2 linked regions of the Schizosaccharomyces pombe genome follow. The main gene of each other region encodes a partner of the protein of the gene in region 2 in a complex. Each region holds a gene or a part of one and is shown on either strand. Other genes may lie near its edges.

The links.
Region 1: mug178 (region 2) and nam9 share a complex: the UniProt entries of both Schizosaccharomyces pombe proteins name them as parts of the mitochondrial small ribosomal subunit.

Annotation. Positions count from the first base shown.
Region 1 is NC_003423.3:3,727,695-3,731,083, forward strand, and holds nam9 (mitochondrial 37S ribosomal protein uS4m), read right to left. Parts: upstream 1,656-3,389; 5' UTR 1,595-1,655; coding exon 1,559-1,594; intron 1,506-1,558; coding exon 558-1,505; 3' UTR 501-557; downstream 1-500. Other genes in the region: rns1 (putative RNA-binding protein), read right to left, coding at 11-116, 183-374; mpg2 (mannose-1-phosphate guanyltransferase), read left to right, coding at 2,123-2,163, 2,227-2,266, 2,367-3,389. UniProt on the Schizosaccharomyces pombe protein: Component of the mitochondrial ribosome (mitoribosome), a dedicated translation machinery responsible for the synthesis of mitochondrial genome-encoded proteins, including at least some of the essential transmembrane subunits of the mitochondrial respiratory chain.
Region 2 is NC_003423.3:3,446,542-3,450,299, forward strand, and holds the start of mug178 (mitochondrial 37S ribosomal protein bS1m), read right to left. Parts: upstream 1,684-3,758; 5' UTR 1,350-1,683; coding exon 672-1,349; 3' UTR 1-671. Other genes in the region: ade9 (trifunctional formate-tetrahydrofolate ligase/methenyltetrahydrofolate cyclohydrolase/methylenetetrahydrofolate dehydrogenase), read left to right, coding at 2,426-2,562, 2,830-3,758. UniProt on the Schizosaccharomyces pombe protein: Component of the mitochondrial ribosome (mitoribosome), a dedicated translation machinery responsible for the synthesis of mitochondrial genome-encoded proteins, including at least some of the essential transmembrane subunits of the mitochondrial respiratory chain.

The DNA.
Region 1 (3,389 bases), 280 kb from region 2:
GCTCACTCACATTTTTTATAAATTGGCATGAAAATATGATCAATTAGTCCATAAATCCCAAATATTTCTGCTATATGTTCTTTAGTGACATTACGCGTCAAATTTTCCACAAGAATCTATTTTGCATCGTATTAGAAACGATTAGTATGCCTTAAATAACTAATTATACATGGAAAACGTACTGTTCGCAATGGTTCTTCTGGAGATCTGGAAAGCGAACTCGAGTAAGATCTATTCGAGGAAAAAGAATCACGACTACTAGACCGATGTGAGAAATTGGAAGAACGCGACGCTGAACGTCCAGATGGAGATCGGGTATTGTTAAATTGTCTTGTTGAGCTACGTCCACGATAAAAGGCCTCCTTTTGGTACATGAAAAAAGATGTGCCAGTTCTTGTATGTGTATAAGATTTGGTTACGTGGATAGCAGTAGACAGGGCAGTTACTTCATAGAGCAGGAAAACAAAAGTGGAAATCAACATAGTATTACAAAAAGCATAATTGAGAATGTTTTATATTTTATTACTAAACTTTTGAGAGGAGTTCATTTATTCGATTTATACGAGTTTCGTCAACTTTCCTTGACGAACTGGATACCGATGAGAGAATGCTTCTTTGGGAGAAACATTTCGTTTTTTATATAATTCAGGAGGTCCTTGATAAAATGATGCATCGCGTACTTTCTGCGGAATAAGCCGTCTGGCCTGACATCTAGCTGCTCCTTGCCGCATATTACGACTTCTGATATAGTATGTATAGGCTAAAGCGTGCAAGTCTTCAGGAAATGGAGAAGGAACTTCCGTTAAGCCAGGACGAGCAACTGGATCACGCACATAAACAAAGGAACAAGTGCGGAAGCAAACTTCTAAATAAGCAGGGATAAATGCCATTAGTGACATAAACGGTTTAGGAACAAAGTTGGAAATTGTTTCATTGATAGAGGGCAACTTTCCATTAGAAGTCTGTTCAAATAAATCATCATCATTATCCTTTTTTTTTTCATTTTCTCCATCCTTAGAGGACACCTGTTCAGTTTGCTTCCCATCCTGTATAGAAGGGGTATTGTTACTAGAGGCAGAAACACAATTCATTACTGATTTTTGATCAACAGTTACTAAATCACCAGGTAAGAGTTGACGATAGGCACGGCGTTCAGGTTTTCCGTTTACGTGCACTTTTCCATGAAGCACCAGTTGGCGAGCCTGTAAAGCGCTAGACGCAAATAACGCTCGATGAATAGACATGTCTAAACGGGATTCCAAAAATGCATAAGTCTGATTCATAAAAGGGATGGGAAGCTTATTATCTAAGGAAGAAATAACCCCCTCCAATTTTGGGCGGAAGGCATTTTTCAGTTGATATTCGCGTAATTGAGGACCATGATAAGACCTTGTTTCCTTCTTCGCATTCCATTTTTTTTGATATAAAGTTCTATTATTCAGAGCAGGTAGTTGTTTTCTTGCAATGTTGTATATATTGTATTTGTTCCACGACGGACGCAAAAGCTAGATATGTATTAATAAAAGCGAAAAAATCAATAATTTCATATATAACATACACCGCGCTTTAAAGAGAACCTAAATTTCCCCTTCATGAGCAATTAAGTCTTTGTCACGAGAGTCCAATCTTCCAGCGTAGTGCGTGAAGTTGATGGTAAATTCATAAAGGTGATTAAAGAGAACAAATTTTTAAAAAGGCTACTTTTACTCGAAAATTCAATTAGTAAATTTTATTTATTTAAGTTTTAATGCATTATAATTTGTACCAAAGCTAGAAGGTGCTTTACTATTTTCTGCAAAACAGCTGATGATGAGCATTAAGTTCCTCACGGCTGGCAAAGTGCCTCAGCCTGCAGCACAATTTTTAGATCATGGGTTTTTGAACTAAATTGATTTACATTAGTATTTCATTGTTACATAGAGTATTATCTTCTGCAGCCAGGCTATTAAGTGCAAATATGAACTGGCAGAAGTTAGCTCATAGCGCTACCTTCCTTATTAAACAAAGGAGAGCTGGACAGGACTTGCACAGAACCACACACCAAGTTTCAAGAGGCGTATATCTCTTTCGTTTTTGGTGATTTTGATACTCATTATTGATTTTTTAGTATTAAATTGCTATTATGATTTCCTCTGCTGTCATTCTGGTCGGGGGTCCATCTCGGTACGTACCAACGAAAAATAAGTCTATTAAACGCGTGAATATCAGTAACTAATTACTTTGCAGTGGTACCCGATTCCGCCCTCTTTCGTTTGATGTCCCTAAAGTACGTCTTATTTAGAATTTATATGTTGGTAAAATACGTAATCCAGTTTTACTTTCTAGTTGCATTTGAAACATAAGAGCTATTTTGCTAACTAAATTAGCCTTTGTTTAAAATTGGAGGACGAGAAATGATTTACCATCATTTGGCGGCTTTATCCAAGATTGAAAGTGTTAAAGATGTCTTTTTGGTTGGTTTCTACGATGAAAGCGTTTTCAAAGATTTTATCAACGAAGTAGCTTCGCATTTCCCCAGTTTCAATCGTATCAAGTATCTCCGTGAATACAACTGCTTAGGAACTGGTGGCGGCTTATACCATTTCCGTGATCAAATCCTTAAAGGACATACTTCTAATGTTTTTGTTATGCATGCGGATGTGTGTTGCAGTTTTCCCTTACAAGAATTGTTAAACGTTCATCACGAGAAGAAAGCTTTAGTTACTTTAATGGCTACTAAGGTTAGTAAAGAAGATGCTTCTAACTTCGGTTGCCTTGTAGAGGAACCAAGTACTGGGCGTGTACTTCATTATGTTGATAAGCCAAGCTCCTATCTTTCAAATATTATTTCATGTGGTATTTATATCTTTGATGCCTCTATATTCGATGAAATCAAAAAAGCGTACGAGCGTAGACTTGAGGAGGTCGAGAAGCAACTCAGGTCCTTGGATGAAGGAATGGAAGACTACCTCAGTTTGGAGACCGATGTGCTTGCTCCATTGTGCTCAGATTCCTCTAAAGCCATTTATGCTTATAATACTCCTGAGTTCTGGCGTCAAATAAAAACCGCTGGCTCTGCTGTTCCTGCTAATTCCTTGTATTTACAAAAGGCATATCATGATGGTACTCTTCCAAAACCCGACACTGAGGCTGAGATCATTCAGCCGGTTTTTATTCATCCTAATGCTATTGTTAGCAAAGGTGCAAAGATTGGACCCAATGTTTCAATTGGTGCTCGTGTTCGCATCGAGGATGGCGCACGTATTCGAAACTCAATTATTCAAGAGGATTGCGAAATTTCTGCCAATGCTGTTGTTTTACATTCCATTCTTTCCCGCCATTGCAAGATTGGTAAATGGTCTCGAGTCGAAGGTTCTCCAACTCTTCCAAGCCAGCACTCCACTACGATT
Region 2 (3,758 bases):
GACGTTTACAAAGTTTATCGGATTTACAATTTAATACACTGTCGGGAAGCGTTGATTGATATAAGCTTATTAATTTATTTATGCAAATTTTTTAGCACGTGCGTACATAATATAAACCAAACAGAGTTCAATATAAACGGACACCCTTAGGAACATCGTAGGTTTCCAGTAATGCGATACGGCCATAACGAAAATTACAAGAACCAAAATAAGTTAAAATCACTCAAAAAACAAACAATAAAAATTCAATCTTTTTTAAACAAGAATGGTGGGAATAATAAACAAGCTTGTTGACAATATTATTTCCTAGAAAAAGTAATAGGTGTATAGAATCTCTCCATGAACAAAAAGAGGGAGAAAAAAGCGGTTCACTACAATGCAAAATAACGGTTAAAAATATTTAATGATCTTAAAGGCATATCATGATAGCTCAAGGAGAAAGTAGTCCGTGCAATTAATTTCCCTAACTCAAAAACTCAGGATCGTAAGCAGATGAAATAAATGTTAAATATGGATGGATCTTCATAATAGACGATTATCAACAGACGAAAACAATATTAAGAAACAATTCCTTGAAAGAAAAGCTATTGTTTTAAGAAAACCGAAGTGACTCACGGGAGAAATAATCGTTTTACTGTTTTTTATTGTCAATGTCAACTTGTATTATGGTATTAAATACTCCTATTTTCTCGTGTGATATTTGGAATGGTTTTACCGGTTTCATCGACATTAAGAGATCGAATTACGTATCGATTTTTTGTTGAAGTAATTCCTTTGAGAGAAGTAGCAGCTATAACTCCTGAGACACCAAATAAACATTCTTTAGAGTCGGGTGCAAATTTTCCGTAAGTAAATGGTAACGGGACTTTTTTAGTTTGAATAAAGGATACTAAACTTAGGCGCTTCTTTTCAGAATCAGAAAAAGAATCTAAAAGTTTCAATTTGGCGTATAATATACCTGGTGGAAGTGTAGGTCTGGATTTAGGATTTGAGCTTGAGAAAGTGTTGTATTTCTGTAAAAGGTAAGGGGAAATTTGTTCATAATCATTAAGCGGAACAGGGAGCTTAAGGTCGTAAATTCGTTTCAAGGTGCGTACGAATCTGTCACTGCTGATGAAGGCACACTGATGCTCGAATGTGTCAAACTTTTGTATGGAAATATGACGGTTTTTTAGGATCGGTAACTTCCTCTTAGCTCCCCAATCGCCGCGAAATCTTTGGCATTTCTTCGCAGTAATTGCTTGTAGGATGGGAATCTTCGTATCATAGACATCAGGGGAGTTCCTCGGCAAGTCTGGTCTTGCTAAACTAACTGCTCGGGAGCATCTCAACAAATCAGGAAACTTCATTATAATTTTGATTAAAGATATACTTTGTCAGAAACATCCAAATTCTGCCCAATGTAAACCACCACCGAAAAGTAACTGCTGAACGAAAGTGGGTACTTCTAATGAGTCAATATTGTCAATATCAATAGCAATCACTCAGAAAACACACGAATACGACTGTAATTTTTTGATGCCAGCTATTTATATACTTTTGTCGTGCAATCCAGCTTGCGAAGTGTTTTACATCAAGTGTGCACACTCATGAAAAGTATATACGAGATGAAATTCTCTCTATTAATATACAAAATTATGGCCAATGTTACAATAGCTAGTTTGAAGTTATAGAATCGCTTTCGTTAGGAGGTCATGTCGGCATGTTGTGTAGTAAACGTTCACTCTCCTCAAGTAGCAATGTTACTTGACTCGCACACTGTTGGATAGAGAAACAGAGTGCTTTAATTGTTTACACTCGAGTAAACCATGACTGAGTACGATTTTAGCTTGTACTTATTAAATTTAACGGGAATTTTTTTTATAATTATAAATTAGTAATACTAAAGGTATGGCTATCATAAGAAAAGTGAAACTTATAAAGGTTAACTTTCGGTAAATTTGTGTGTTCTTCCTTGTTCATTAATGAGTTTATCTCTACTAAACTAAACTATATGATTTTTCTAGTCTAAGTTTATTTACTGATAATTAATGAGTTGCTTGTCAGATCGTTTGTTGTTTATATTTGTCTATTATATTTGATCTTGAGATTCTGTATATCATGTAACAGATTTTTAAACTTTTTCTTTGACTATTTGTGTGCTTATTAGCTATCTCAAAGGCTTAGGTATATTATTACTTGTTCAATACATTATGATTTGCAATAATGCAATTGTTCCAGTCACTATTCGAGCTTGAAGAATAAATTATACGAGAATGAATACATTGCTTTAATACAATCGCTATTAAAATGTTTCGGTTCATATTCTACTGTAAGCGTATTATTCAACATAGATTACCTGACTACCAATAAAAATTTTGCTTTAACACACCACCAGAGGACAGGCAGGTTCCCTTACTACCCTACCACTTCTGGGTGTCTTTCTATGAACGTAATGGTTTCGTTTAATCAATTACGAAACTATTTTCTAGAAAGCAACAGCTTACGGCCATCGAAATGGCTTTTTCAGTCGTATGGTACTTCAAGTTCTGCGAATATCCTAAATGGAAAATTATTGGCAAGGTAAGATAAAGTTTATATTCTAAATTTTCTCTATGCAGATGAGCGTGCATTTCTGTGTTTGTCTTTGACGATAAAATTTTGGTGGTTTGAAAATTGATTTGCGTACATTGCTTAATTCCGTATATTCTTCAATTTTTTTGTCGATACTTAGAAGTTAAAAAATTGTATTGGGCATTGCAGCACGTTTGAGGTTTCATCAGATTTTTTTGCTCTTAAAACTTTATATTTTTATTTCTCTTTGAGGTTACTAATGTAGCGACTAATTAGAAAATTACAACGTTCTGTTGCTGAAGAAGTGCAGGCCTTGAAAGCTAAGGATCGAAACTTTAAGCCGGCGCTTGCCATTGTACAGGTTGGAAAACGTGAGGATTCTAACGTGTACGTTCGAATGAAAGAAAAGGCGGCACGATTAGTTGGTATTGATTTTAAATACTGCCCGTTTCCTGAAACAATCCAAATGCCTGCCTTGCTTCATGAATTAAAAAAATTGAATGACGATCATACGGTTCACGGTGTCCTTGTCCAACTTCCTCTTCCCAAGCATCTCAATGAGCGTACAGTTACTGAATCTATCACTCCGCCGAAAGACGTTGATGGATTTGGTGCATTTAACATTGGTTTATTGGCAAAGAATGATGCTACCCCCATTCATTATCCCTGTACCCCGAAAGGTATTATGGAGTTATTAAAAGATAACAAGATTTCAGTCGCTGGATTGAACGCTGTAGTTCTGGGAAGAAGTGACATTGTCGGAAATCCAATTAGCTACTTGTTGAGAAAGGACAATGCTACAGTAACTGTCTGTCATTCTAAAACTAAAGATTTAATTCAGCACATTTCTAATGCTGATTTGGTTATAGCAGCATTAGGCAAACCCGAATTTGTTCGTGGTGAATGGTTGAAACCAGGATCTGTTGTGGTAGATGTTGGCATAAACGCTGTTCAAAGAAATGGAAAACGCGTTTTGGTTGGCGATGTGCATTTCGAATCTGCATCCAAAGTTGCTAGCAGCATTACTCCTGTCCCTGGAGGCGTCGGACCGATGACTGTTGCTATGCTAATGGAAAATATTGTAAACGCTGCCAAGATAGCTAGAACAGAAAACATTTATCGAAAAATTGACTTAAATCCTTTAGAGTTAAAGAAGCCTGTTCCTTCTGATATCGAAATTGCTAATTCCCAAGAACCTAAATTAA